Linked DNA regions of Macaca fascicularis. The protein of the gene in region 1 interacts with the protein of each later gene in a pairwise test. Links are inferred from orthologs where the notes say so. Each region holds a gene or a part of one and is shown in the gene's direction. Other genes may lie near its edges. The genes, in order: CSNK2B, RNF7 and ARAF.

Evidence for each region.
Region 2: the proteins of CSNK2B (region 1) and RNF7 interact in a two-hybrid assay, tested with the Homo sapiens proteins (2 studies listed by BioGRID). The link is inferred for Macaca fascicularis from reciprocal best matches to the Homo sapiens genes CSNK2B and RNF7.
Region 3: the proteins of CSNK2B (region 1) and ARAF interact in a two-hybrid assay, tested with the Homo sapiens proteins (2 studies listed by BioGRID and IntAct). The link is inferred for Macaca fascicularis from reciprocal best matches to the Homo sapiens genes CSNK2B and ARAF.

What each region holds. Positions count from the first base shown.
Region 1 is NC_088378.1:140,051,320-140,061,042, reverse strand, and holds CSNK2B (casein kinase II subunit beta), read left to right. Parts: upstream 1-4,122; 5' UTR 4,123-4,225; intron 4,226-4,808; 5' UTR 4,809-4,819; coding exon 4,820-4,891; intron 4,892-5,839; coding exon 5,840-5,942; intron 5,943-6,505; coding exon 6,506-6,621; intron 6,622-7,063; coding exon 7,064-7,139; intron 7,140-7,285; coding exon 7,286-7,475; intron 7,476-7,802; coding exon 7,803-7,893; coding exon of another isoform or gene 7,894-7,969; 3' UTR 7,970-8,024; downstream 8,025-9,723. Other genes in the region: GPANK1 (G patch domain and ankyrin repeat-containing protein 1), read right to left, coding at 1-415, 1,821-2,446; LY6G5B (lymphocyte antigen 6 complex locus protein G5b), read left to right, coding at 8,901-8,958, 9,105-9,233. UniProt on the Homo sapiens protein: Regulatory subunit of casein kinase II/CK2.
Region 2 is NC_088376.1:44,565,009-44,574,866, forward strand, and holds the start of RNF7 (RING-box protein 2), read left to right. Parts: upstream 1-3,456; 5' UTR 3,457-3,479; coding exon 3,480-3,654; intron 3,655-8,340; coding exon 8,341-8,388; intron 8,389-9,858. UniProt on the Homo sapiens protein: Catalytic component of multiple cullin-5-RING E3 ubiquitin-protein ligase complexes (ECS complexes), which mediate the ubiquitination and subsequent proteasomal degradation of target proteins.
Region 3 is NC_088395.1:47,654,865-47,664,603, forward strand, and holds the start of ARAF (serine/threonine-protein kinase A-Raf), read left to right. Parts: upstream 1-3,686; 5' UTR 3,687-3,744; intron 3,745-5,382; 5' UTR 5,383-5,441; coding exon 5,442-5,537; intron 5,538-5,700; coding exon 5,701-5,804; intron 5,805-7,589; coding exon 7,590-7,692; intron 7,693-7,777; coding exon 7,778-7,932; intron 7,933-8,044; coding exon 8,045-8,143; intron 8,144-9,421; coding exon 9,422-9,578; intron 9,579-9,681; coding exon 9,682-9,709; intron 9,710-9,739. UniProt on the Homo sapiens protein: Involved in the transduction of mitogenic signals from the cell membrane to the nucleus. May also regulate the TOR signaling cascade. Phosphorylates PFKFB2.

The sequences.
Region 1 (9,723 bases):
ATCCCGCTCCCAAGCCCTGTCTTTCTCCTCCCTCCTTCTCTCCTTCTTCCGGCTCAGCATGGCCACCTGAGGGGCTCTCTCCCTCCCAGCCACAGCTCGGGTATCCCAAGCTGGAAAATGTGTTACTCGGGGCTGGGGTGCTGATCTGTAGCCTAGTCCCTCCTGGTCCCTCTTGAGGACAGTGGGGATGGGGTTGGCACGGCCCTCACCCCGGGGTCCCAGTCCCATTCCTGGCTCCCAGCCCCCCCTCAGTAGGAGTTTGAAGCCCGGGCTGGAGATGGGCACCCCAAGTGGAAGGCTGGAAGGCTGAGGACCCTGGGACAGTGACAGCAGGTGAGCAGTGGATGTGCGGTGGTTGGAATCTTGGAAGTGGGTGTCACAGGTCTCGCAGTACTGGAGGGAGGGAGTAGGAGACCTGCAGAAAAAGAAGAAAAAGCATTAACGGCAGGGGAAGGAAAAGGGGAAGAGTTGAGGCCTGAGAGAGGGCTGGCAGGGTAGGAGAGGATCCTTTCAGCTTTTCTGCTAAGGAACAAATTGCCGGCTAGGCATAGTGGCTCACACCTGTAATCCCAACACTTTGGGAGGCAGAGGTGGGCAGATCGCTTTGAGCTCAAGAGTTTGAGACCAGCCTGAGCAAAATGGCAAAGCCTACTTTTTTTTTTTTTGAGATGGAGTCTCGCTCTGTCGCCCAGGCTGGCGTGCCGTGGCCGGATCTCAGCTCAGTGCAAGCTCCGCCTCCCGGGTTCACGCCATTCTCCTGCCTCAGCCTCCCGAGTAGCTGGGACTACAGGCGCCCGCCACCTCGCCCGGCTAGTTTTTTGTATTTTTTTTAGGAGAGACGGGGTTTCACTGTGTTAGCCAGGATGGTCTCGATCTCCTGACCTCGTGATCCGCCCGTCTCGGCCTCCCAAAGTGCTGGGATTACAGGCTTGAGCCACCGTGCCCAGCCTACTTTTTTTTTTTTTTTTTGAGATGGAGTCTTGAATCTGCTGCCAAGGCTGGAGTGCAGTGACATGATCTTGGCTCACTCCAACCTCCACCTTAGCAATTATCCTGCCTCAGCCTCCCAAGTAGCCGGGATTACAGGCACATGCCACCATGCCAGCAAAACCTGCTTTCTACAAAAAATATGCTTGAGCCCGGGAAGTGGAAGTTGCGGTGAGCTGAAATCACGCCACTGCGCACCAGCCTGGTGACAGAGTAAAACCTTGTCTGGGGAAAAAAAAAAAGGACAAATTGACTTCCTTCCTACTTAATAATGAGGGAATCCAGGCTGGTCCAAAGGTGGTGGTGTTATCTGAAATGACTGTTCACTCAGTTACAGATCAAACTCCTTACTCTACTTTTCCCCTCCTTCTCACTACTGGTCTTAAAAACAAATTTATTTAAACCATTGTGGGACCCAGAGCAGAAGAGTTGAAAAGAAAAAATTGTAACCAGGCCTAGCAAACTCTTGGGCAAGGGGAGGGATACTAGTGATAATGACTACAGCTAACATTCATATATTGCATACTATGCAGCATGCACTATTCTAGCATTTTACATATATTAACCCATTGAATCCTAACAACAATCCTTACTACCCCATTTCTAAGATGAGAAAACTGGAACATGTAGACATTAGGTTGTTTGCCCAAGTAAGTGAAATCAGGCTTTAAATCCAGGTAGCTCATATTCATAACCACTTGACTATACTACCTTGTCAACCTACACATGAGGATAAGGAAAGAACTCAGCACTGTGCTGGGGCCTCTGGTGTGGAGTGGCTGGGAGAGGCAGAACACAATGAGACAGGGGTCTGAGCTAAAGTTTCCCCTCACCGGTTCTCTGGGCTCCTTGTCTCTCCATGGCTTTCCCTGACCATGCGGGCCACCTCAGGAAAGCCAGCTTCTTCAGCGAGCTGAGCCGCATCCCTGCCACCCAGCTCACAGACCCCCACCCAGGCAGCCCCACGGCCCAGGAGATAGCTCACAGCTGCCCCCTGGCCCGCTCGAGCAGCGCACATCAGTGGGGTCCACCAGAAGGCATCCCGAGCATTGATATTCCCCCCAGCTCCTCCTGCCTCATGGGGCTCCAGCAGTCTCCTAAGTTCTGCCAGGTCCCCCTCCTGGGCTGCCCTCAGTATCCGGTGAGTCATCTTATCCTCAGCCTCAAGGGATCTCCCTTGTCCATATCTTCCTGATACTCCTTCTGCCACTGCTTCTGCTGCAGCTGCCCCCATGATTCTTCTTTTCTTTCTCTTTCTTTCTCTGGCAGGTTCAGTCTGAGATCTTTGGGAGTCAGGAACGCAGCTCTCATCCCCAATAAGGGCCTCATAGAAAGCTCGGGCTGCAGCTCCATCCAGGGTGGACTCTGGCTCCTCGGGCTGTGGCTGCTGCTGCCCATCCTTCCAGAGGTCGCTGGGGTCAGTGGCTGGGGTGAAGGTGATGAGGAAGGGCTGGGACATGGCTTTTGGGAGAACTGAGAAAATGATACCAGGCAAGGGAAGGATGCGACAAGCAAGCCAAGCTCCTGGTGACTCTGTAGCAACCAGAGCCTCAGGGACCTGCTGGGATGAGAAAAAGTAGTCAAAAACACTTTCCTGCCGCTAAAGTGACCCCACAACTTAAGACTCTGCAGGGTCTAAGGGAGAGAGTATATGCGTAAAAACACGAAACCCTACAATACCGACTTTGCTCCTTAGTAAAGATTAATCAAACTCCATGAGACAGTCGTCCAGAGGTCCTGCGTCCGGCCCCCACCCCCATCCTTACCAACAATAAATACCAGCCTCTTTCTGAAATCACTTTCTCACCCCGTAAAACAGACATACCAGTAGGAAAAAAAAAAATCAAACCTGGCCCTTTAAGTCTTCCGTGATCCCATTTCGGAGTTTCCTCTTCCCAAACAAAAATAGACGGGTCACTCCCTAGAAGATCTCGGGGAGAGGCTCCTATACGTGTTGCCGTGTAGCTTCCGTAACGCAAAATGGCGCTATTCTGATCAGCAGAGTTGACACAATCAAATAGCCACACGGCACGGAGACGCATGCGTGGCGACAACAACAACAAAAACCACCACCCACATTACTTGATGGCTCAGGCGTGCGCAAAGCTCCCGGTTCAGTTTCCCGCGCTGGAACTTTTCCAATAGTAAACGAGCAAAGCTCCGCGCGCCCAGGTGGCGCGAGCGCTAGGATCTGTCGGTTGGGGTCCTACTTTTACATAACGCCCCCACAATGCCCTTCGCCTTCCTCTACGTGGCCCCCGCTCCAAGCCCATTTTCTGGAGCTAGGAATCCACTCTCTGGGTTAGGAAAGGCCCTCAGGAGGCGGAGGGAAACCTGTGGAATGCCGAGAAGCCGTGTAATGAAATAACGTCACGCCTGCCCCTCACCATTACTCTGACCAGGGTTCGAAGGTCACACTTAGAGACTAAGGGGAAATGGAGAAGTGCAAGGGGACGAGCAGAATGGCTGGCACCACCTCAGGTTAGCGCACTGGGCCGTTCTGGTTCTCACCCAGCCCAGCCCAGCCCAGCCCAGCCCAGCCCAGCCCAGCCCAGCCCAGCCCTCCCAACCCAAGTCCCTACGCACGGAGCCAAGCCGCACCTCTCGCCTCATGAGGCCGGAGCCCGGAGTAAAACAGAAGGCCCGTCAAGGGTCTCTGGCGGGACTGACTCGCACTAGGGGCCCAACAGGCAATAAGGACCCAGCGCATTGGCCAAGGATAGGCCAGTCCCCAGGGAAGCAGCACCGCGTCGGGACTAGAGGGCAACTGTGAGGAGAGCTGCGAGGAGGGGTCCAGCCTGGCTCCCTCCTTTCCCCGCCCTAAGTCAGCTTCTTCGCCCAGTGAGCACACAACTGTATTGCCCAGGCTCCCAGGCCCCGAACGCCATACCTGGTTTCCGCTTCCGGTGGCTTCTCGTTGCGCCCCGCCCGCAAGCGTCCTCCTCCGGGGCTTCGTGACAGCCAGGTCGTGCGCGGGTCATCCTGGGATTGGTAGTTCGCTTTCCCTCACTTAGCCGGTTTCTCTCTCTACCGGGGACTCCGCGTCCCGGCATCCACCGCGGCACCTGACCCTTGGCGCTTGCGTGTTGCCCTCTTCCCCACCCTCCCCAATTTCCACTCCCCCCACCCCACTTCGCCTGCCGCGGTCGGGTCCGCGGCCTGCGCTGTAGCGGTCGCCGCCGTTCCTTCGAAGTAGCAACTTCCCTACCCCACCCCAGTCCTGGTCCCCGTCCAGCTGGTGAGTCTGAGGTCTTCGCTGCTCCTAGTCGCTTGTCGCTGGGAGCCGCACATGGGTCTCCGCACTTTGATATGGGGGCGGGGGGAGGAAGCAACCAGGTCCGGCAAGGAGGGAGAGGTGGCTTGAGGAGCGGAGGGGGGATGTGTGGAATCCGGTGAAAGGGACCTGACAGTCGCCCCCAACCCTTGAGAAAAGGAGGCGCCCGATTCTTGCTTGAGAGTGATAAACTTGGAAATCCTTGGGAAAGGCGCCGGGGTCGTGCAGAGACTTGCATTGGTACGGAGCCTGAGTCGAGGTCCCTGCCGGAGTTGACACAGAGAAGAGAGGGCCCTGGCTTTCGGGAGCTCCAGGGACGTGGGTCGGGCTGGTGGGTCAAAGTATCTGTTGGCTTCTTTCAAGTGGTGGGACCCCAAAGAATGTTTAACGTCAAAGAAAAGGGAACTGAGATGTAAATTGGAGGAGTTGGAGAGGAGTGCTTCAGAGTTTGGGATCCTTTAAGAAAGGGTGGTTCTAATGTGGGAGGAGGGAGGATACCCGAGGCAGGGAAGGAGAACTTGAGCTTTACTGACACTCTTTTTTTCAGCTGACGTGAAGATGAGCAGCTCAGAGGAGGTGTCCTGGATTTCCTGGTTCTGTGGGCTCCGTGGCAATGAATTCTTCTGTGAAGTGAGTTCTCTTCGACCTCCCTACTTGCTGGCTTCACATATCTTCCCACCAGATGTTCCTTCACGTATTCCACTTCTACACTGTTCTCTTACATACTACTTGAAAACTTCCCATCAACGAAGAGTCCCCTCAATAACCCCCGACGAACCTGTGCTAAAGTGGCAAAACTGGGGCCCAAGTTTCGACTCTGCCACCCTCCAGCAGGCAATTTGTGTCTTTTTCTTTATCTTTTTTTTGAGACTGGGTCTCACTGTGTCGCCCAGGCTGGAGTGTAGTGGTGCGATCTCGGCTCACTGCGACCTCTGCCCCCCAGGTTCAAGCGATTCTCCTGCTCCAGCCACCCAAGTAGCTGGGATTACAAGTACCCGCCACCACGCCCGGCTAATTTTTGGATTTTTAGTAGAGACAGGGTTTCACCATGTTGGCCAGGCTGGTCTCAAACTCCAGACCTCAGGTGATCTGCCCGCCTCAGCCTCCCAAAGTGCTGGGATTACAGGCATAAGCCATTGCGCCCAGCCTGTATCTTTTATTACTAAAGTTGTACTGCTAGTACCTGTCTCAGCTGGCTGTTAGGAAAATTGAAATGCTACGTATTGAAATGTTTTGTTCAGAAACCATGCCGTTCAGCTTCCATCCTCCTCAGCCAGCTGAGAGGACAAAACTGGTTCCTAGAGATGGAGTACAGGAGTAGGGACAGAGATCTTGAAAAGAATGTCTAAGAAAAAGATTGCTGTACCTGCTTATCCTTAGAAAAGAAAAGCCAAAGCTTTATGGGAGGGAGTATAGGTGAACTAGGGAGAGACGCAAGTACTTCTGCTGAGTTGGGAGTGAGAAACAAGCGGAACAGATGCAGTTGTGTTGATGATAAGGCATCAGTTAGAGCATTTTGCCCAGGTCAAAGATGGGGATTTTGATATGGGTTCCCTCTTGGCTTCCATGTCCCAACAGGTGGATGAAGACTACATCCAGGACAAATTTAATCTTACTGGACTCAATGAGCAGGTTCCTCACTATCGACAAGCTCTAGACATGATCTTGGACCTGGAGCCTGGTGAGGCACCCTCAGGGTTGTTTTGTGTGTGTGCATGCACTTTTTTTCTCTTCAAATCTATATTCACTTACTTGAATTTTGAAATTTCCTTTGGTTCTCTGATTTCTTTAACCCCAAATTCATGCTTTATTTTGATCCTCCACCTGACTGTGTCTAGTTTTGTGACGTATATCACTTGTTCCCATGTTTTCTAAATCCACAATTCAGATGTTTTCCAAAATATGTTTCCTCATGGGTCTGGTTTGCTATTTCTCCTGCTTTGCACCTTCCAGTCTAGAGTTTCATCTTTTGCATTGACATTGTTGCAGTTATGTATCGGGGAGGGAGCTGGGAGGGAGAGTGGGGAGCGGAGGCTAAAGAGGTGTGAAGAGAAGACAGAGCTGTCTTGGGTTGGCGCAAGGGTCAGAAGCCCAGGTTTCTGGGTCACATGCCCAGATGTTGGATGGGGTAAGGCCCAAAAGTAGGTGCCAGGCGAACTGAATAGCCCGCACCCCCTGGATATGGGCAGGGCACCTAGGAAAGCTGAAAAACAAGTGGTTGCATTTGGCCGGGCTGTGTTTCAGATGAAGAACTGGAAGACAACCCCAACCAGAGTGACCTGATTGAGCAGGCTGCCGAGATGCTTTATGGATTGATCCACGCCCGCTACATCCTTACCAACCGTGGCATTGCCCAGATGGTGAGGCCTCTCTGCTCCTAATTGCCTCCTTCTGAGCAGTAAGGGACACAGGTTCCTGCAGCAAGAAGTCATGTTTAAGCCTTGTTTAAGGAAACTGGCTGAGAAGAGGAGAAGAACCCCAGGCTTGGGCCTGGGAATTGAATTCTGATTGGGGGTCATCCTGAAGGGATAATTTTCAGGGAGGGAGACAGTCCTTGAACAGAGAGTTGTGATAGACTGCCTCTTCCTCAGGGAACAAACAACAAATGGCTCTGATGGTTTGTAGCCTGCCTAACTGGAAGAAAGGCAACATAGGAGTTTGAGAGCCCATCTGGGCCAGAGAAGGGGCCTCTGGACAGAGGTGGGAGGAGTGGGGGACAGAGTGATATGGGTTGAGCTGAGAAGGGAGTTGCCTCTTCTCTTCACACCTACCTGCCAACCCCTTCCATTTTATTCACTTCAGTTGGAAAAGTACCAGCAGGGAGACTTTGGTTACTGTCCTCGTGTGTACTGTGAGAACCAGCCAATGCTTCCCATCGGTGAGTGTTGAAGAAGGGAAAGGAAGGCACCTTGTGGCAGTCTTACGGGAAGGAGTTAGGGCTCAGCATCTTGGGGCCTGAGTCCTGAGGGGAGGTTAAGTAGGAACAGGGAGATACCTGGCCTGCTGAGTCTGGCTGTCTCCCAGGCCTTTCAGACATCCCAGGTGAAGCCATGGTGAAGCTCTACTGCCCCAAGTGCATGGATGTGTACACACCCAAGTCATCGAGACACCATCACACGGATGGCGCCTACTTTGGCACTGGTTTCCCTCACATGCTCTTCATGGTGCATCCCGAGTACCGGCCCAAGAGACCCGCCAACCAGTTTGTGCCCAGGTAGGGAGCAGGGAGAGTCATTAAGGGTCAAAGGAAAGGCCTAAGATCCCCCAGAGAGAGGGGAGGATGGGGCATGGCCCTTTCTTGAGGCCTGCTTCTCCCAGAATCGGCATCTCCCTGCGGAGTGACTGTGGGAAAGTTATTTGATTGTCTGTGCTTCAGTTACCTTATCATAGAATGTTCTTGAGCTGAGAAGTTGGGAACCACTAGGCTTAAGCTCTGAGCAGGTCCATGGAGGAGTTCAGGTGGGGAGGTGGGAATGCAGGTGACTAGCAGGGTCTGGATGGGGCTCATGCTACTGCCTCTCTGACCTCTGCCCTGGTCCAGGCTCTACGGTTTCAAGATTCATCCGATGGCCTACCAGCTGCAGCTCCAAGCCGCCAGCAACTTCAAGAGCCCAGTCAAGACGATTCGCTGATTCCCTACCCCACCTGTCCTGCACTTCCTTTCCTTTTTGCCACCCTTTCAGGAACCCTGTATGGTTTTTAGTTTAAATTAAAGGAGTCATTATTGTGGTGGGAATATGAAATAAAGTGGAAGAAAAGGCCATGAGCTAGTCTGCTGGTGCTTGCGGTTGGGGAAGGGAAGGTGATGGTGTGTTGGACTCCAGGGGCCCTCATGGCCCAGCCCACCCTCCCCAGATTGAAAACCAGGACAGATTTGTGCTCAGTGAATTGGGTGATGTTTTTAGTATAGAGCAGAACAGAATTCCTAGGACTGTGTGTGATGAAGTGCAAGGTCAAAAGGAAAAGACAGAAAAAGCATGTTTTAAAGATGAGAAGTATTTGGATACCTATAACTGTCTGTCTATACTGTAAGGTGCTTAATCAGCAACTCCATCTTTCAGTTTTAAAGGAAAAGTAGCCCTAAAGTCAGTATAACTAAGGGTGGAATGAGGTGGGACAAGGTCCAGAATTACTGCTCAGTGATGTGTGTGTGTGCTGCCTGCTGTTGGAGCTGGGACTGCCCATCTCAGAAGGATGGGGATGCTTGATTTCCAGGCCAGGTTGTCCCAGCACAGTGGGGACTGGCCCTGTTATATGAGGAAGACAGCACATGGTGGCAGAGATAGACACTAAGCCATGGACTTTCCAAGGGAGGGAGTAGGTCTTTGGAGGGTATGCAGGACAAAGGTAGACACTGGATAAAGAACCAGATAGTGCCCAGATATTACCCCGTCTGGGCCATTGCTCCCACACTCAGGAACCAGACGTTGTGGGTGAGGACATGCTGTCCCTCCTGCCAAGTTAATAACTTCCTTCCCAACCAGGATCCTGCCCCAAGCAGGAATATAGCTCTGCATTTACAGCAGCTCCTCAGACCTTGTCAAAACCACCCTGCAACTCAGGATTAAGGAGTGTGGTCACAGGAAGGTGGGGTTTCAGGGCATCCCTCAGGAACTGCCCGTCTCCCCAGAATTCCATAATGAAGGCCCATATACTTGTAGGTGTGCTGGTCATGGTGGGCTTCACAGTGGGAAAGGGTAAGTGGGGCCCAGGGGCAGGGAGGGAGGAAGGGGTAATTGAGTTCAGGAAGGGGGTGGAACGTGGCCATGGATACTCGGGCTTCCTACTGGCCCAGGGTATCTGAGAGTGACCCAGTGCCCCATCCCTCCTTCTGCCTTCCCAGTTCCTGTTCCCGACATCCGGACCTGCCACTTCTGCCTCTTAGAAGACCCTTCTGTAGGATGCATTTCAGGCTCAGAGAAGTGTACCATCAGCAGCTCATCCCCATGCATGGTGATCACCATCTATTATGGTAAATAAGGTCCCAGGAAGGGGCTGCTGGTGGGGCAGCCAATGGCTTGATCTTCTTTCCTCTCACAGATCAGGGCTGCTCCGGGCATGGGGTACAAGAAAGGAGGGGCTGAGTGCAATGGCTCATGCCTGTAACCCTAGCACTTCGGGAGGCTGAGGCAGGTGGATCACTTAAGCTCTAGAGTTCAAGACCAGTCTAGGCAACATAGTGAGACCCTGTCTCTACAAAAAAATAACCAGGCATGGTGGTGTGCACCTATAGTGCCAGCTACTCGGCAGGCTGAGGTGGGAGATCTCTTGAACTCAGGAGGCGGAGGTTGCAATGAGCCAAGATTGTGCCACCACACTCCAGCCTGAGTGACAGAGCCAGACCCTGTCTCAAAAAAAAAAAAAAAAAAAAGTCTTGGAAGGAGGGGTTTAAGGTTCTAGGGGGCCAGCAGAGCTCACTTTTCTAGCCTCTTGAAGGAGTCTGGGTTAGAAGTCAGTCAGGT
Region 2 (9,858 bases), on another chromosome or scaffold:
AGACCAAGAGAGGCAAATGAACTGGAGGGTTCCATCTGACCAAAAAAGACCAGCAAATGCTCAGGGACCTATGGACATGAACACAATTATTTCCAAGAAAAAAGATGAGCCATAACTCTTGTCTGACAAGTGTGATGGAGAGCAGACTTGCTTAGAAGGACATTCCCAGGAGGAGGTAGCATATACATTTCAGGCTAGCTTTGATCTCTAGCCTCTAGGAACAATTTTCTTGCTTTGTCATTATAGTTCCAAACATTGGTCCCTTTGGGGAAACTACTCCAGCTCAACAAGCAAATGTCATCAGGTTTGTTTTTGTTTTTATTTCTTTCCCTAGTGCAGGAAAGAAGTCCAGAATATGCCTCTATAGCATAAGGATTATTTTGAGCGAAAGGCATTTGAGAATCGACAGATGCAGGAAGAGTTGTTTTATTTTATTTTAATTTTTTCCCTGAACTTACCTGTCTAAAAGCAATGCCTCTCAAAAGAATTCAACTGTCTTAAATTCCTTCCCAGGAATTTTAAAACCAGGGAAGGTTGACCCTATCATTAGAAACAAGAAGTTGGTACTGGGATAATAAATCAGCTAATAGACTTTGTCACAAAACTATCATATCTCCTATCTATTCTCCCAAAGGCCTGTTTATCTTTTCTGAAAGTTATTTTCCAGAAGTGCCCTTTCTCCTTCTCCCTTTCCTTTATTTAGACAGTGTATAAGCCCCAAATTCTAATTGCCCCTTGAGTCATAACTTTCTGTGAACTCTGACTACTTTGGTGAATAAAAATCTATCTTTTCTCCTGCTAATCTGTGTTTTGTTGGTTTAATTTGCAATCCCCCCAAATACTGAACCTAAGAGGGTAGAGGGAAAGTTTTACTTCCCTGACAACAGGAAAACTTATTTTGTTAAAGATGAATGGCACAGAAGGGGGAAATGATGGTTGGAGTGAGGACCAAAGAAATAACAAAAATGTCCACTTGTACTGAGACAAACTTTTCCTAAATATTTATCAGTTAGTCCTTAAATATTTTGCTTAAGAGAAGTCCTCAAAATTAAAGAAACTACGTCTTCAATGTACTGAGCAGAAGGAATGGAGACTGTGCAGCTGAGGAAGCGGGGGCTGAAAAATAAGTGTGGGTTGTGTCCCCACACACCAAGGACTGGTGAGAGGAACAACGCACAGTGGTGGAGTGGGAACTGAGCAGGCCATGAGGAGGACAGATATTTGTTTTGCTGCATTCAAGGCCGCCTATAGTTCCTGCCCTTTGGGTGCTCATGATGGCAGACAAGCTCTCATGAAGGTGAACCAAAGGAGGGAAATCACAGGAGACCCGTTGGCCCCGCCACGCCTGAACAGCTGCTGCAGCCTGAACTTTCCACCTCACTCCTGCTTTCCCTTCTCCCCATGCATGCTTGCTTGTTGCACTGAACTCCGGTGCATCACTCATTCCTGTTCTCTTTGTCAGGAGAAAAAGTTCTCCTGACATGCAGTGTGTCAAAACCATACTCATCTCCCCAATCCGCCTTCCACTTCCCGCCCCTATGCTCCCGCCTGGCTTCTATTCTCAAATTTCACCGCAGCCGACACCTCTCTCCAGATTTCATGGCTCAGCAAGGGCACATACCATTCCTCCAGCAAAGCCATCCTTCTCCCTTTTCACCATTTCATCCTTTTGTCTTTCAAACTTCTCACCAACTGGGTGCGTTTTATCCTTCTCTTTGTTAGATACCTAGCATTTACAGCCATCTCTAGGCAGATGTGTGGTCGTTCAGTAAGAAGGGAACACATGTTTTGTGTGCTCACTCCAATGGGTGTCTGGCTTATAAAGTTGGTGTGGTCCAATTCCTGTCTGCCACCACCATTGTGCTCTGCTCTGCCCAACAGCTCAGAGAGGTTTGCTCTCTCCACTGGCCCTGAAGGCCCTGAAGGCCTCCCATGTTCCCCCAGTTCAAACTTCACCTCTCCCATGAGGCTTTCCCTCACTGCATCCTGCACCCTCACAGCCCTTAACACACCACTCAACAAATACACATTTCCATCTAACCGAATGTGACCCTGCGTCCATATTTATGTTTCTATAGATTAATGCATTCTTGTTTCCCCTGCCAGGTTCCATTGGCCTGGTTACCTTTTGCCCAGGTATCAGGAGATGAGGGGATGGCGAGAGGCTCAGAATCCAAACTTGACAGAGTAGGTGTCCACCACTAGGTGACGGTGGGATCAGGCATCTCCTTAGGCTGTCTGTGCTTCTGCTTTCTTTTCAGTGGAGATGCCTGCTTTCTTGGAAACACATGTGATGGTGGGCTAGCAGTAGAAGCACTACTGTAATAACAATGTGATCTTTGTCATTTCACTTCTTCGGACCTCATTAGTCCTACATATAAAAAGAGGAAGTTAAACTAGCTCAAATGTACTGAGCAGAAGGAATGGAGACTCTGCAGATGAGGAAGCAGGGCCTGAAAAATACGTGTGGGTTGTGTCGCCACACACCGGGACTCCTGGGATCCTGACCTCTTTTAGGGGTCAAAAGAGGGCAAACTAGTTGCCTAACAATATTTAGAGCTATTTCTCTCTTTTCACTCTCATTCTACGAGTGTACACGGGAGTTTCTAGAAATTACATGGTATGTGAAGTTATCCCTCTAATGATAACCTCTAATGAGGTTATTACTGTGATTTTTAATGAATACATTTAAAAATATGTTTTAATTTCTTAAAAAGAAACATTAATCTCTATGTACGTGTGTATACATATACAGGAAATGTATGAATATTCATTATACATGAATGTACATATATTCATTGTATATATGTATATATATTCATACATATGTGTGTGTGTATATATATATTTATACATTTCCTACATAAATAAAAGCTCTTTAAGGGACTAATAATTTTTAAGTGAAAAGGAGTCCTGAGACCAAAAAGTCTGAGAATCACTGAGCCAGATTTCTAGATCTTTAAGATCATTAATTCACTCAAGAAATAATTGTGCCTCTTGTGGCCAGGCATTTTGTAGATACCGAGGACAATGTGGTGATAAGAACATGTTCCCTGCTCTGATAGAGTTTTACACTTGGGAGGGAAGAGACAAACAAGTAAATTAACAAGATTATTTCTGAGAGCAGTAGTTTTAATGAAGCCATAAAGCAGGACACACATTCCAGCACAATCTGTGCGCCTGCTCAGACGTAACACCCCGCAGCGCCGCAGGCGGATTCGGCAGCGTAGCCCCGAGCAGCCCCAAGCCCGCTCGGTCGCCCCAGGAGGGCGGGGGCGGGGCCTGCCTGCCCCCTCGCCGCTGGCGTCCGGTGACGTCACTGGGCCGCGCCAGCCAATCGTGGGTGGCCGGGGTCTGGGCACCACGGTGGCCTGCGGCCTGCGGGCGGCGCTGTGGCCCGTCGGGCGGCCCGGCAGAGCCGCCCTAGCCTCCCGCCTACCCCAAGCCAACGTCTCCGCCGTCGGCTCCGCGGCGCCGCCATGGCCGACGTGGAAGACGGAGAGGAAACCTGCGCCCTGGCGTCTCACTCCGGGAGCTCAGGCTCCAAGTCGGGAGGCGACAAGATGTTCTCCCTCAAGAAGTGGAACGCGGTGGCCATGTGGAGCTGGGACGTTGAGTGCGATACGTGCGCCATCTGCAGGGTCCAGGTGATGGGTAAGCGCTGCACGCAAGGCCGGGGCCGCGCTGCGGCCTCCGGGAGCCGACTTCGGGATTGGGACGGGACGGGCGCCCGCCAGAAGCCTTGGAAAGTCCCCTGCCTTGGGGAGTGGGTGGAGGTCGCCCTGCCCGGGCGCCGGAGGAACGCGGAGCCACGATCCTGTTGCGGCTCCTGAGGGCTGAGGGGTTGTGCAACAGGCGCCCGGCGCCGGGTGGTTGGTGTTCTAGGGAGAGAAATGGGCAATAAACGGAGGTAAACAAGGTAATTTCAGGTAGTGATGGGTGTGACCAGGAAAATAAAACCGGGTGATTGTTGGGAACTAGCAGGAAACACTTCGGTTTGTGTGGCCAGCCCCTGTTCTAAAAGCTCATCGCAAGGTGGACAGAGTAAAGGCCGTGATTCAGCAGTGAACTTTAATAGTCTTGGTCACCATCAAAGTGATGCTCCGGAGTCATCTTCCACAAAACGACACCCTTAGTTCTCCTCGAGGTACACAGGGAAGTGTTCACAGCCATTGCATTTCCGGATTAGCTTACCGCCGCTCTTCGAATGGCTTTTAAATCTGGATTGATCTAAGACGGGTCAGATAGCACTAGCGTGGCTTGAAGGGGACAGTGTGGTTCAAGAATATCTAAGTTTCATGGAAGCCGAAGAATTGTAAGCCCTTTTTTCAGAAATGTAGAACTTCACCTCCATTACACCCCCCTCTCCATATCGGATGTCATTTCCTGGAGAAGATACTGCCCTGCTCTGAGTCATGCCTTTGTGGAGAACCCTCTTACAAATATGTCCTCTTTCTGTGATATTTGGAGTTAAAATATTAGACCAAGCAAAATGTTTCAGAACAGCTTAATCTTGTTATATTTTATATGGTTCTAAGATCTCAGACCACTTTGAAAAGCAAGTGCTGTTTAAATGCAAGTTGTATTTTCAGATAGGGCATTTAAAATTACTGTGAGAGCATCTTCAGTGGAGTTCTTTATTGAGGGTAGTTAAAGAAAACAGACATTTCTGTAGGTTGAAAACTGACTTGTCTTGAAAAATGAGAGAATTGGAGAACATAAAGAGAATTGCTGTCCTTGAGGGGGGATGAGACTTTAAACCTACCAGAATCAAGAGATTTCTCAATTTATGCTCTTTTGTCTTTTATTCTAAGGGCTTGTTTCAAAGAGGATTTACAACAATTGGATTCAGATATTTTTACCTTTTACTTTTGAAAGACCTTGTTATTAGACATGACCCACTTATTTTATATGGATCACTTGAGCCCAAGAGTTTGAGACCTGCCTAGGCAACATCGCAAGACCCTATCTCTACAATTAAAAATTAAAATAAAGTGACCAGGCATGGTGGCCTCCAGCTACTCAGGAGGCTGAGGTGGGAGGATCCCTTGAGCCCAGGAGGTCGAGGCTACAGTGAGCCTTTTTCCTGCCACTGCCACGATACTCTAGCTTGGGTGACAGAATGAGACCCTGTCTCAAAAACAAACAAACAAAACATATTAGGCTTTAAAAGTATCTAGTTTATTTGCCAGCAGTACAGCTGCCCCTACCCTCACTTAGGAATCATAGTTTCCAGTTTGGGAAGCATTTTTTAACTGATCCAAGAGACTTTTTTTTTTTTTTTTTGCAATACAAGTTTTGCTAAACATTTTATCTCCTAAATAAATTTCCTTTAGTTTAAAGGAAACTAAACTTTCACTTAGTTCCTTTTCAGTTTAAAAATAATGTTCCCAAAGGGTATTTTCAAAAGATTTCTCTCCCAAAAAGCTATTTCCTCCCCGAAGGAAAAACATTTAAGCAGTAAGTGGAAATGTATAACCTGAAATAATGATTGAAACTTTGCAACAAATAAACTTTACTGAGATATTTTAATGTAGGTCAAAGTATAGGCTATAAATGACACATTTCATCATAAACTTTCTAATTATAGCAAGTATTCTGCTACTACAGGATCAGTCTTGCATATTTGCAAACAGCTGTACTTTGGGTTCAGGAAAGTATTCTAGGCTAGACCTTTGTATTTTGTTTATGAGGTGTTAAAACCCACTTAGAGGTCAGGTGACAGCAGAAGGAAATTTTTTTTTCCAGACTTCCTAGTCTTTACCCTAGCACCCTTCTAAAAGGTGTTATTGTACTCCTTAGAAATGTGCTGTTTTAGATTCTAGGAAGATCATTAAAGCAAATTTTTATCTTTTATCTGCAACTTTAGGAATTTGTGTAGATTTGGGTCAGTTTTGATAATCTACATTAGAGCTATAAGCGTAATTTAGAGATTCCTAGATTCAGCAACAAGAACCCACTTTGTTCCCTTTCCTTAGTATTTGGAATTTATCTCACACTTGTGATTTATTATACTTTCTGCTCCCAAGATTTGCCTGTCAGCCCATTCTGATATGGGTAACACTCTCATCTTCGTTTCCACTATCCTCCCTTCATTCAGAAAAGAGTGATGATTGCATAGTGAGCAAAGTGCTGATGAAAAGCGTTGAATAGGTTTGCTAGTAGAGCCAGTTATAATAGCCAGGGTAACCCTTCATGACTGTATCACCTTAGATATTTCACGTAACTTTTGGGAGCCTTATTTTCCTAATTTGTAAAGAGGCAGTTGGGATCACCAACCTTAATGTTAAAATTCTGTGATTGCACAGAACTAGAGCCAGATACAGGTAGCACGTCTTCACTGTTGTATCACAACCCTCATGATATTTAGTTGTCTGTCTACGTCCCCATTTGCTGGTGAGCCCCTTGAGACCCAGCCTTGGTCATTTTGGTGTCTCCAGTGCATAACACCTTGCACAGAGGAGTAATTGTGGGATTGAAGAAAACCTCAGGAGGCAGTGGTTGTTTTTAATCCACACTGAAGAGACTAGGGCGGTGGTGTGTTTTTAAGGGTAAGAGCATGTGGAGAGGAGCAAACAAATGCCTGAGCAAAACCCAGTATAAGAAGAGAAGCAGGCTTCAACTCCACCATGTTTCTATTTTTACAGAATTATTTTTCTCCTATTTATGTTAAAAACTATTTTCTGTTGGTTTGAACTTCCTTTTACCCAACACTGACTCCTCTTCCAGCTAGTGAATGAGTCCATTTTTGGTCCCTAAAATATTCTATATTACTTTTTTCATTAAGCTGATAGTATTCCAGATTGAATTTTGAAAACTTCTAGTACAGCCTTTAGGATCTCATTTTTAGTGTTTACACCTACTCCACTATATTAGAAGTTACTGTAAGCTCACTGGGCATGCTCATGGACAGTTCATTTTCAAGACACCCTTTTAAATAACCCATACATATAATGTTAGTATTTGTTTATATGTACATCAAGAAATTCTAGAAGGATACCCAAGAAACCACTAATAAAGTAATTTATTAAAGTACTTTACCATTGCTGGGTAAATGCTTTGGGCTCAGACTTACCTGTAAAGGAAGTATTTTTTTTTTAAACTTTTATTTTAGATACAGGGGTATAAGTGTAGGTTTGTTACATAGGTAAACTTGTGTCACAGGGGTTTGTCGTACAGATTATTTCATCACCCAGGTATTAAGCCTAGTACCCATTAGTTATTTTTCCTGATCCTCTCCACCCTCCACCCTCCGAAAGGCCCCAGTGTGTGTTGTTCCCTGCTGTGTGTCCATGTGTTCTCATCATTTAGCTCCCAAGCATTTTCTTACAAAGAAAAAAACCTTAGTGCTTAGGGATATCTAGTATTTACTTATTTTATCTATAAAATTCTCACCAGTATATATCATTCCCACTTAATGTATAAATACCTCACGGTATTGTCCCTTTTTTACAGATGAGGGAATTGGAGTTCGTAATTGGTCCAAGGCCATGAACCTAATAAATGCCAGTGAAATGGGATTTGACTGTAGATCTGGCTCCGCAGCCCTTGCTTTCCCCTCTGTGTCTCACTGGCTTCTCACCAGCCTTGTCTGGATGACCATCAGTAGCAACCTATTAGAAGCATACAAAGCAGTTCATTTTAGAGGAAGTCTCAAGTGTCTTAGGGTAGAAAGTAAAAAGTTGCTTTTTATGAGTTGCTGAAGGAAAACTTATGTATCAGTAAGTATGGATGACTTTAAAAAACTTATTTATGAAAGAATCAAATTTTTTCAATTTAGTTTTTATATAAGTTATATATTCACATAGTTCAGAAATTGAGGAAGGTATGTATATTACCTGGAAGAGGAGTGAAAACTCTCCTTCCCATTCCACACCCTCTCAGTAAACTTTATTATTGGTTCCTTGGGTATCCTAGTGTTTTTTGATGTATGTATAAACAAATGCTAACATATATATATGGTTTATTTAAAGGGTGTCTTGAAAATAAACTGCCTGTGAGCATGCCCAGTAAGCATATAGTAACTTCGAATATAGTGGAGTGTGGCATATTTTTCTCTAGTAATTTTCTCTATTGGCACTGTCAGGACATCTTTTCATCAGAGCTTATAAAAATAGAGGATTTGTTGTTAACTGTTGTGAAATTGCTCCTGGTTATAAGTAAATTAGTAGAATGCCTTGTACTTTATTCCTCTTTAAATCGTTATATTCAGATGAGAAATTAATAGTATGAGTCTTTACTGCCATCTCTAACCCTTAGAGCTTTTGACTTTGAAGTGTCTGGTTTTTAAAAATTACATTCTGAGCATCAGAATGAGAATTGCTGTTTGTTTACTTTTAGATGCCTGTCTTAGATGTCAAGCTGAAAACAAACAAGAGGACTGTGTTGGTATGTTGTAATTTCGCTCTCTTGCTTTTTCAACTGAAGGTTTTCTCTCAGTAGGGATGTTTGAATTTGAAATTAAGATTGACTTTATCAATACACAAAAATAAACTGTAAAGCAGTGATCCATTATTAATATAAAATATGTTGGTTCTCAGAAGAGTTTAATGGAGTGAACCTGCAAATCCTTTTATTGCCATAATTAAGAATTGGTTATATATTCCAGACATGGTCATAATAAACATTTTGGTAATCAAAAATTAAATATTTTCTATTTAGAAAATTAGAAAATCAGAATGTCAAAACATTATTTGAATTTTGGCTATGTTATAGGTCACTTTTGGTTCTAATAAGGCATTTCACTTTTCAATACTTTTATAATACGGTATTTAACTTTAAAACCAGAGTAGAAAAATTCTAAGTCTCAAGTATGTTTTTGGAATGTGGTTTGTGTATCAAATTTTCTTTAGAGTCTTAGACTATAAAAGTTGTCGTAGGCTAAATATTTTAGGCAGTTCAAAGATTTTTATGCCCTAGTTCTTGAGGTGATCAAGTCTGGATTGCTATATAAACATGTTTACAGATTTTCTTAGAATAAAAGATCGGCTTTGTATTTTGTGTTTGCATGGTGTACATAGAACACAAATACATGATGTACATAGAACTTAATATTGATTCTTGCAGTTTTGATCCAGTTCTTCCTCCTGAAACACTTAGAATGTTTCACCCTTGCTTCCTACCCCCTGTAGCAAATTTTCATAGGAATTTTTTTTCTTTTTTTCTGCCTTATTTCTTTCATTTAATCTTTTTCTTTTGTCATATAGCTCAGTTGATCAAGCAAGGGACAGATGAATACCAAATTTGAGATTGCATTCTAGATTATGGATGATTTCCCTTGTTTTAAAGTTTTTCTTCCATGCTGCTTGTTTAAAAAGTATTAATTTGGGAATTGTGAGGGGCAGGCCACTTTCTTGGATCACAGAGAGACCTCTCTCTCCAGCCAGCCCCTTTGAAAATTTCATCGTCACATGAGGAATTGCACTGCTTGTGGATGACCTAACAATTCATTACTTCTAGAAAACAGCTCAGCTCAGTAGATGCACAACTGAATATTTAGAAGCATGTTATTTATAATAGCCTACTGCATGCTAAAAACATTTACAACTCATTCTGTCTTGGTAAATAAAAATTGGAAGGACATTTTTCCATAAAATAAAGCCCAGAAGGTCTCTAAGGTCAGTGCATAACTGAGAAGGTCAGATCTAAGGAAGGTTCAAGTCCTTTCATCTCCTAAGTTCAAGAAGATAGCATGTGGAGCTGTGTAGGAACTAGGGGTCATCACATCACCCATAGATTCTAGAACAGGGATGGAAAGGCTCTCAAACAGTGACTTATGTCTCTGTGTAACTTACACATTTAAGTTTCTGTTTCTTTATAGATAGAAAAACATTATTTTGGCCAATTAACTGTCTTTTT
Region 3 (9,739 bases), on another chromosome or scaffold:
CTATAATCAGCTAGTTTGGGTTTTAATTTTTGTTTTAATACATGGTACTTCTAATGGTTTAAATATGGTGGTGATGATAATGATAAAAAATCAAGAAGGTCAGGCGCTGTGACATGCGTCTGTGGTCCCAGCTTTCTGGGAGGATCGCTTGAGCCCAGGAGGTCGAGGCTGCAGTGAGCTGTGATTGCACCACTGCACTCCAGCCTGGGTGACAGAGCGAGACCCTGTCGCAAAACCAAACCAAACCTAAATCACTTTAAAGGCCTTCATGCTTTAAAGTGTCAGGTACCTGTAAGGTACTTGGCTGAAGTGCCAGTTGAGATGGGTGTGAAGTGAGTCTATGAGTTCTTGGGGGAGAAAGCATTGCCTTTGAGTGGGCTGTGTCCCCTACCCTTCCCCTCCTTCCCCCTATCCTGCGAAAGCAACGAGCTTTTGCTGGCATTTTTCTCATCTTTTTATAAACGTTGAACGATGGAGCCAGAAGTCTGTCTTCAAATAATGCCTAGGAATTAAAGTTTTTAAACAATTTAAGTGAATTGAAATATAAAATGCACTCCCCTATTCCCCTCCCCAAAGCCCCTCACTGAGCTCCAAACAGGAGTTGTTCCTGACCCCACTGGCACTGAGGTGGTTGCCAGGACTCCTGCAGTGGGAGATGGAGATTCAGGGCTTAGGGATTTAATTTCAGAAAAAAAGAATTTTTTCAAAATAATTTCCCCAACCAGTAAGAATTTGTACAAACACAAACGTTTAGAATTATGTTTGAGGCCTTCTTTTTTTTTTCTTTTGCCACACAGTTCTTACTCTGGTATATTACACATAAAGCAAAATATATCCATTTTCAGTATAGAGTTCAATGAGGCCAGGCAAGGTGGCTCATGCCTGTAATCCCAGCACTTTGGGAGGCCGAGGTGGGAGGATCACTTGAGCCCAGGAATTCAAGACCAGCCTGGGCAACATAGTGAGACTCCATCTCTACAGAAAATATTAAAAATTAGCTGAGTGTGGTGGTGTGTGCCTGTAATCCCAGCTACTTGGGAGGCCGAGGTGGGAGAATTACTTAAGCCCAGGAAGTCAAGGCTGCAGTGAGCCATGATTGTGCCACTTCACTCCAGTCTGGGTGACAAAGCCAGACTCTGTCTCAAAAATAAAAAAAGATAATAATAAAAATAGAGTTCAATGAGTTCTGACAAATGCATACAGAACATTCCAATCACCTGCAAAAGTTCTTTAATGTACTTCCCAGTCATTCTCCCTCAAAACAACATCTAATGTGATTTCCTTCACTATAGATTAGTTTTGCCTGGTTTAGATTTCATACAGGTGGAATACAGTATTTCTCCTTTGTGTCTGGCTTTTTTCATTTGGCCCCATGTCTATGAGATTCATCTATGCTCTTCCTATATGTCAGTAATTTGTTCCCTTTCATTGCTGAGTAGTATTCCATAACCCCGTTGTTGTATTTCTTTGTCAGTTCTGTTTCTGGACACCTGGGCTGTTTCCAGTTTTTTGATATTATGAAAAAGCTAATCTGAACATTTGCATACAAGTTTTTGTGCAGATATACTGCAATAGTAGCATGTTGTAGCTGGCTCACCAGAGCAGATTTTGTGCATCTCTTTTAAATCTGGTTCAGCGACTGTCACATCAGTAGCCTGAAATAAGCCACGGGGACAGTACAAATTAGAGCCATTTTCTTCCTGGAGAGTTGGTTGTTAAACATTTACCAGCACACCATTGGACACGTGTTTTCATTTCTCTAGAGTAAATACCTAGGAGTGAGATTGCTGAATTGCATGGCAGGTCTATGTTTAATTTTATATGAAACTGCCAAACTGTTTCTAAAGTGCTTGTGCCACTTTACACTCCCAATAGCAATGTATGAAAGTTCCAATTGCTCTACATTCTCATCAATACGTAGTATTGTCAGTCTTTTTAATTTTAGCCATTGGAGTTGGGCATGGTGGCTCACGCTTATAATCCTAGAGTGTTGGGAGAACGAGACCAGGAGCTTGACACCAGCCTGGGCAACATAGTGAGATTCTGTCTCTCTAAAAATTTTATTTAGCCATTAAATGGTGAAGATTCAAATAGAAAAGTGGAGTTGGGGCCAGGTGTGGTGGCTCAAGCCTGTAATCCCAGCACTTTGGGAGGCCGAGGTGGGCAGATCACTTAAGGTCAGGAGTTTGAGACCAGCCTGGCCAACATAGTGAAATCCTGTCTCTACTAAAACTATAAAAATTAGCCGGGCATGGTGGTGGGCGCCTGTGGTCCCAGCTACTCAAGAAGCTGAGTTACCCAACTGATTTTTTTTTTTTTTTTTTTTTTGCATTTTTACTAGAGACGGGGTTTCGCCATGTTGGCCAGGCTGGTCTTGAATTCCTGGCCTCAAGTGATCCGCCTGCCTTGGCCCCCCAAAGTTCTGGGATTACAGGCATCAGTCACCACACCCGGCAAGAATGGAAAGTTTTATTACTGAATAAGCACTGCACCAGACTGTGATGCACATCACAAACAATCGGCTAAAGAGGTTTCAAAGACAAAAGAAATCTCATCCGTTTATGTAACAGGCAGATACAGCCCATTACAAACATATTCTCAAACAGTAACTTGTGCTCAAGTAAGAAACTTGACAGCACCATTTGGTACACATACTTCATCCCAAATTCACCTAGTAATTGGTGCGGCTATCTGTGTTAGTTAATTGCCTTTATCCAAAGGAAAACGAAAACTCGTATCTTTATGACAAGCAGGTAATAACTTGAAGCCAGGCACGCAGATCAAATTCCCATGAAGACGGGAAGACAGGGGTGCTATTTTCATTGATGTTTACATTTCATCAAAGAGATGGCTACGAGGCTCTTAAGAAAAACATTCCGGGGTTGTAAAACTGGCAAGAGATCTAGCATTTTAAAAGACTTACATCTCAAAGGGACAGAGAAAATTTTACAGTTACAAGTTTTCTAAAGGAAATGCTCTAAGAGAGACGTCTCTCTCGACACCAGGGAAAATTCGATTTTTAAAAATTTGTGTTTACCCCACAGTACTTCCACACATTGACTGGCATCGTGCTCCATTCACCGCACTTCCCTCTTCACCTGGCCACCTGTGACTAGTTTTTCAAAATCCTAATCAACCCCATTCCTAAAGGAAGCCTCCCAGACAGAAGGCCGCCCCTCCTAGGGCCAGCCCCCCAACCCCCACCACACCAGAGACCCGCTGTCCTCAAAGGCTATGAACTACAGTCTCCTAGAGCCGGTGAACATCGCCGATCATTTGTTCTGATTCCAACCCATTTCAAAGATGGTAAAACTGAGACACAGGAAAATAATAAAAGGGTGCTTAGGGCACTGGCCCAAAAAGGGTACTTAAGGATTTCTCCGTCCAGATGCCAGAGCCCTAAGGTCAGCCCCAAATGACCTTAAAAAGTCCTGCTTTATTCGTCTATGCCACTATTGAGGTTAAAGCCCCAGGCACGCAGGTCTTGCCCCAACTGCGCCTGCGCGAGTCAGGACTTGCGCTTGCCCCCGATCTTGACGTTTCAGGCTGCCCCTCCTAATCCGGAACACGACTCACATTCCGTTGGTCTTGCCTTGACAGACGTGACCTTGATCCAATAAGAGTGGAAGGATGAGTCCCGCAGAGCCAATAACGAGAGTCCGAGAGACGGCGAAGGCGGACTCTGTGAGGAAACAAGAAGACAGGCCCAAGATGGAGGCGGCGGTGGCTGTAGCGGCGTGACAGGTGAGGGCGGACCCGGGAGGGCTCGGTTTCTGGAGCGGCTGCCGGGCACGGGCAGGGCGCCCGGACCGAAAGCTCAGCTCCAGGATGGCTGCGCCCGGGCCCCGGCGTCCCCCGCCCGGAACCGGAGGAGTGGTTTGACCCGGGGCGAGACCATCGTCGACAGCGGGGGTGGGGTGGGTAACAGGAATAGGCGGGCAAGGCTGCGGGTGATGGTTTCGCCCGCTGCTAGTGGTGGTGCGCCTGCGCAGAGCCGGAAGCCCTTTGGTAGGCGGGACCCTACCGACTGGTGCCGGGATTCCGTCTTAAACCCCCTAAGGTGTCCAATGACCTTTCCTTACCAACTGCGGGGAGTGTGTGGAAACGGGGTTCACTCCCCGGTTTCCTTATTCTGGATCAGTGTCTGACCCCCTGGGGGGGGGAGAATGTCAGGATTCTCGCCTCTGTAACCGCCTTCCATGATCCCCCATTCAGTTTACACCAGTAATGTGCCTGTGACCCCCTCACTGGTTGTCAAGGAGAATTTTGGAGCTCCCTCTTTACCTCCATTTTTCTCCCCGCAACACCATACCTTCCTTCTCCTTTTGCTATGACAGTGTCTGGTGATCCACCATTACCTCCCCAGTTTGGCTCGATGTCTGGTCATTTCCATTTCCACCCTTCTCCCCATTACAGTCCCTAGTGACACCTGTTACATCTCCCTTCCGCATAGTATGTAGTGACCCCCACCCATGAACTCCTCATCATAAAGTCTTGGGACTTCCATTAGCCACCTAACACGGTGTCTGTGGTCCTAACATCAACATTACACCCCAGGGCTTAGGGATGTCCACAGTGCCCTTTAAGGATATGTTTGGTGCAACCTCCATCTTCCCCACACTAAGGGCAATATCTCATGATCCTCTCTTTCCCATCACCCTGCCTGCGACTCCTCCCTCACCAGAGTATCTGGCACTTCCCCCGTTCTCTGTTAAAAAGGCAGGACACTTTGGGAGGCTGAGGCGGTGGATCACCTGAGGTCAGGAGTTTGAGACCAGCCTGGCCAACATGGTGAAACCCCATCTCAACTAAAAATACAAAAAATTAGCCAGGCGTGGTGGCACACGCCTGTAGTTCCAGCTACTAAGGAGGCTGAGGCGGGAGAATGGTTTGAACCTGGGAGGTGGAGGTTGCAGTGAGCTGAGACTGTGCCATTGCACTCCAACCTGGGCAACAAGAGCGAAACTCTGTCAAAGAAAAAAAAAAAAAAAACAACCAGGACATTCTGTTTGTGCTTCTTATGTACCTGACAGCTCAGTGCAGTGTGTATTGACTTCCCCATTAGTCCCCAGCACAGAGTCTTCTGTGCTCCTGTACCCTCCAGGACAGTATGCTCTGTCCCCCTTCCTTTTTCTCTCCCCGCCAACCCTGTGCAGTGAAGCTGAGACCTTGGCACTCATGAGTGAGAAAAGCAACAGGAGGGTCTGAGCAGAGGAGGAACTAGAAGGACTTCAGATGTGAGCAGGATCTCTTGGGCTGTCATGTGAAAATTAGGCTGCAGGGGGCGACAGGAGCCTGGACTTTGAATTTTATTTTGTCCCCTGCCACTTTGCTTCCAGACTCTCATTATTGGACCTCTGAATTCTGTCTGCCTTCTTGTAGGAGCCCCATGGCACCTGCCCAGCCCCACCTCAGCCCATCTTGACAAAATCTAAGGCTCCATGGAGCCACCACGGGGCCCCCCTGCCAATGGGGCCGAGCCGTCCCGGGCAGTGGGCACCGTCAAAGTGTACCTGCCCAACAAGCAACGCACGGTGGTGAGTCATGGAAGCGAAATGGCAGGGGCTGTGGATGGACCCAGTTGTAACTCTGGGATCAAAAGGGTGACAACGGTTGGGGGAGGCCTTTGCAAAAGGATGGGAACATCAACTGTGGCCTCTGTTGGGCAATGAGGACCCCTACATCTGCACATATACACAGGTGACTGTCCGGGATGGCATGAGTGTCTACGACTCTCTAGACAAGGCCCTGAAGGTGCGGGGTCTAAATCAGGACTGCTGTGTGGTCTACCGACTCATCAAGGGGTGAGTGTGGCAGCCCCACGCCCACCCACTGGGTGCCCCACCTCCCATCCCCTCCTCAGTCATTTGATTCCTTCTGTTCTTTATCACAGAGTCTTCCATTAGTCTTCCCTTAGTCTTTAGTCCCCCCTTATCTGCAGGGTACGTGTTCCAAGACCCCCAGTGGATGCTTGAAACCACAGATAGCACCGAACCCAATTGCTATCAGCCGGAACATGTTTCTATTCTTGTCTTCTACCCATAAATGTAATGCCTTTTCCGTCTTAACTAAGCATGTATCATGCACTCCGGCCATCGCTTTTGCAATATGAGGTATGACGTCAAAACTAGCATGAATTTATTTTTCCTTCTTCACAGTTCCAAAGATGGAAGATTCGGCCGGGCATGGTGGCTCACGCCTGTAATCCCAGCACTTTGGGAGGCCGAGACGGGTGGATCACAAGGTCAGGAGATCGAGACCATCCAGGCCGACACGGTGAAACCCCGTCTCTACTAAAAATACAAAAAAAAAAAAATTAGCCGGGCGTAGTGGCGGGCGCCTGTAGTCCCAGCTACTCGGGAGGCTGAGGCAGAAGAATGGTGAGAACTCAGGAGGCGGAGCTTGCAGTGAGCCGAGATCGCGCCACTGCACTCCAGCCTGGGCGACTGAGCGAGACTCTGTCTCAAAAAAAAAAAAAAAAGATGGAAGATTCTTTCTTACAGTAGATCTCAACAACCTCAGCATATGATTTTCTTTGCTTTCAAGTCAAGAACTTTTACCTTTTTGCCTAAAGGAAGCACTTTACAGCTTCTCTTTGGCATGTCCGAATTGCCACCAACACTACTGTGCTTTGGGGCCATTATTAAGTAAAATGGCGATCACTTGAAGACAGCCACTATGATATTGAGTCAGTTGTTTGATAACTGAGCAGGCTACTGAGTGATGGGTGGTAGCATAAACAGTGTGAATCTTCTAGATAAAGGGATGATTCACATCCTGGGTGGGATGGTGCAGGATTTCATCATGCTACTCAGAATGCACGCAATTTAAAACTTATGAATTGTTTATTTTTGCAATTTTCAATTTAATACTTTCCCACCCGGTTGACCACAGGTAACTGAAACCGTGGAGAGTGAAACCACAGATAAGGGAGGACTACTGTAGTTCAAGTAATCTATGAGTTCATCCATCTTTTGTTTTGTTACTTCATTGGTTCATTGGCCTGTAAGGTCAACCAACTCATTCTCCCCTGGACCCCAAGTCCTCACCCTGGTCCATCACTTCCTCCCAGATTTCATCTATTTTGTCCTTTCACGATGTCATGACTTCATCAGCTCTCTTCTTCCTCATTTTCCCCATTCTTTGTCTGCTGAGTTGGGTCTTGCTGACCTTATTTATTCCTCTCTCGTGGGGTTCCTTAATTTTTTATGCAGTTCACACAGTGCACTTTATTTGTTGTTTCAGTGCCTCCTCAGCCCCCTTTTCGGGGGCTGGCTTAGCGCTTCTAAGATGTAGTTGTTTAGTTTCATTTGCTTCTCCCCTTCCGTTTCAGAGCATGGACTCTTCACACCGTCCTGCCTCTCATTACTCTTGTGGCCCAGGGCCAGTCATTTTATCCCTCTGAGCCTGTTTCCCATCTGTAAAGTGGGGGCAAGGATAATGACTAATTCCTAGAGTTGCTATGATGAGAATTAAACTTGCCAGACATGACCCTGTGGGTAGCAGGCTTGGAGGGACTTGTGGCGGTTCCCTGCCTCACCATGGCCCCTGCCCACCCTCCCACTCATTCCTTTCCATGCCCCCTGCAGACGAAAGACAGTCACTGCCTGGGACACAGCCATTGCTCCCCTGGATGGCGAGGAGCTCATTGTCGAGGTCCTTGAAGATGTCCCGCTGACCATGCACAATTTTGTGAGTGCAGGGTGGATGGTGGGGGCGGATCATGGTGGGGAGTATCCTTGGCCAGGTCTCAAACTTCCCTGCTCTGCGGCATCAGGTACGGAAGACCTTCTTCAGCCTGGCATTCTGTGACTTCTGCCTTAAGTTTCTGTTCCATGGCTTCCGTTGCCAAACCTGTGGCTACAAGTTCCACCAGCATTGTTCCTCCAAGGTCCCCACAGTCTGTGTTGACATGAGTACCAACCGCCAACAGTGAGCCCAGCCTGGGGTGGGTGGGGGGATGGGGAGCACAGAGACCCAGCCACAAGGCCCTTACAGACAGCTGACCTGTGTCCCCTTACTTTATACCCTTCATGCCCTCAAGGTTCTACCACAGTGTCCAGGATTTGTCCGGAGGCTCCAGACAACATGAGGCTCCCTCGAACCGCCCCCTGAATGAGTTGCTAACCCCCCAGGGTCCCAGGTAGGGGTGCCTTAGCTGAAGGGCTACTGGGGGAGAAAAAGATCTGGGGACTCTTGTAGACCACAAGCCATACTTTATTCATTTGTTTACTTGACAAACATTTATTGAGCACCTACAAGTGTGAGTAAGGGCATGAAACTGGGACCTTGGGCAAGTCACCTGATTTCTCTGGGCCTCAGTTTTCTCATCTGTAAAGAGGGGATAATGATACTTTCTACCATATAAGGTTCTGCTGAGGATTAAATGAGTTAAGACATGTTCAGTGCCTAGAACAGGATCTGGTATAGTGTAAATAATCAGTTCTTTTTATTATTAATTATAAATATATTTATAAGCATCTAACTACTTTGCTAATTCTTCTAGTATAACCATACTCAAGCCTTTCCATTTTGAAATATGTATTATTTTATCATAAATTACTTCCCTTTTATTGCTTCTTTATGTTAAATATTATACAAAACTATAGCTATATTAAAATATATTATTGCTCTAATGTATATTTTATAATGTGCATATTTTATGGTATATTTATGTTATTGTATCATGTTGTATTACATAATGTTATATAATGTAGAACATCATACATGTTTATATGATACATAAAATAAAGTTAGGGTATTATATTATTTTAAATTATGAGTGTATATGCATTAATTACCTTTGAGTTTCATTTCAGGATAGTGAAGGGAACATTAACATATTTTTGTAACTACAATATGTTTAGCATATATCGTGTATAACGTATATATAACATAGAATATGGTAATATGTATACTTTAAAACATTGCTATTTTAATATAGATGATATGTATTATATAACATTTGAAGAGTACATGTAATTATAATATATAATTATAAAATATGGTACATTCCCCTTTCCCCACTGTCTGTGTGGCTTGCTATCCTGCCTGTAGGAGTTTACTCCAATGTCACCTCCTTCTCAGAGAATCCTTTCCTGACACTTTCTAGGAACACTTTGTGTCTCCTTATTTTGCTTTACTATTTTTCTTTATTGCACCTATCACCATCAGGCATATTATATATTTGTTTTTTATTTCAGCCCCACGAGGGCAAGAACTGTTATTTTGTTTTACAGTTTTATCTCCACCACCTAGAATGGTATCTGGCACACAGCAGGCACTCAATAAATGTTTCTTGAAGCAATGAATAATAGTACTGCCAGTGGACATTCGCTCTGTGTGAGCTAAATGCATGTTTATGGCTGGGGGTGGAGTGGGGGCTTTCTTGGTTCTCTGATTCCTGGCAGTGACTTCACAGCCTTTCGCCTGGCAGGCCTCACACTCAGCACTGTGACCCGGAGCACTTCCCCTTCCCTGCCCCGGCCAACGCCCCCCTGCAGCGCATCCGCTCCACATCCACTCCCAACGTCCATATGGTCAGCACCACGGCCCCCATGGACTCCAACCTCATCCAGGTTGGTGCTGTGGGGAACAATGCCAGGGACCACTGGGCAGAGGGGAGAGCCATTCCTGTTGGCCTCCATGCCCTCTTTTTGACTCCTGTCCCTCTTCTTCTAGCTCACTGGCCAGAGTTTCAGCACTGATGGTGAGTCCCCCGTGCCTGCACCCTGACCCC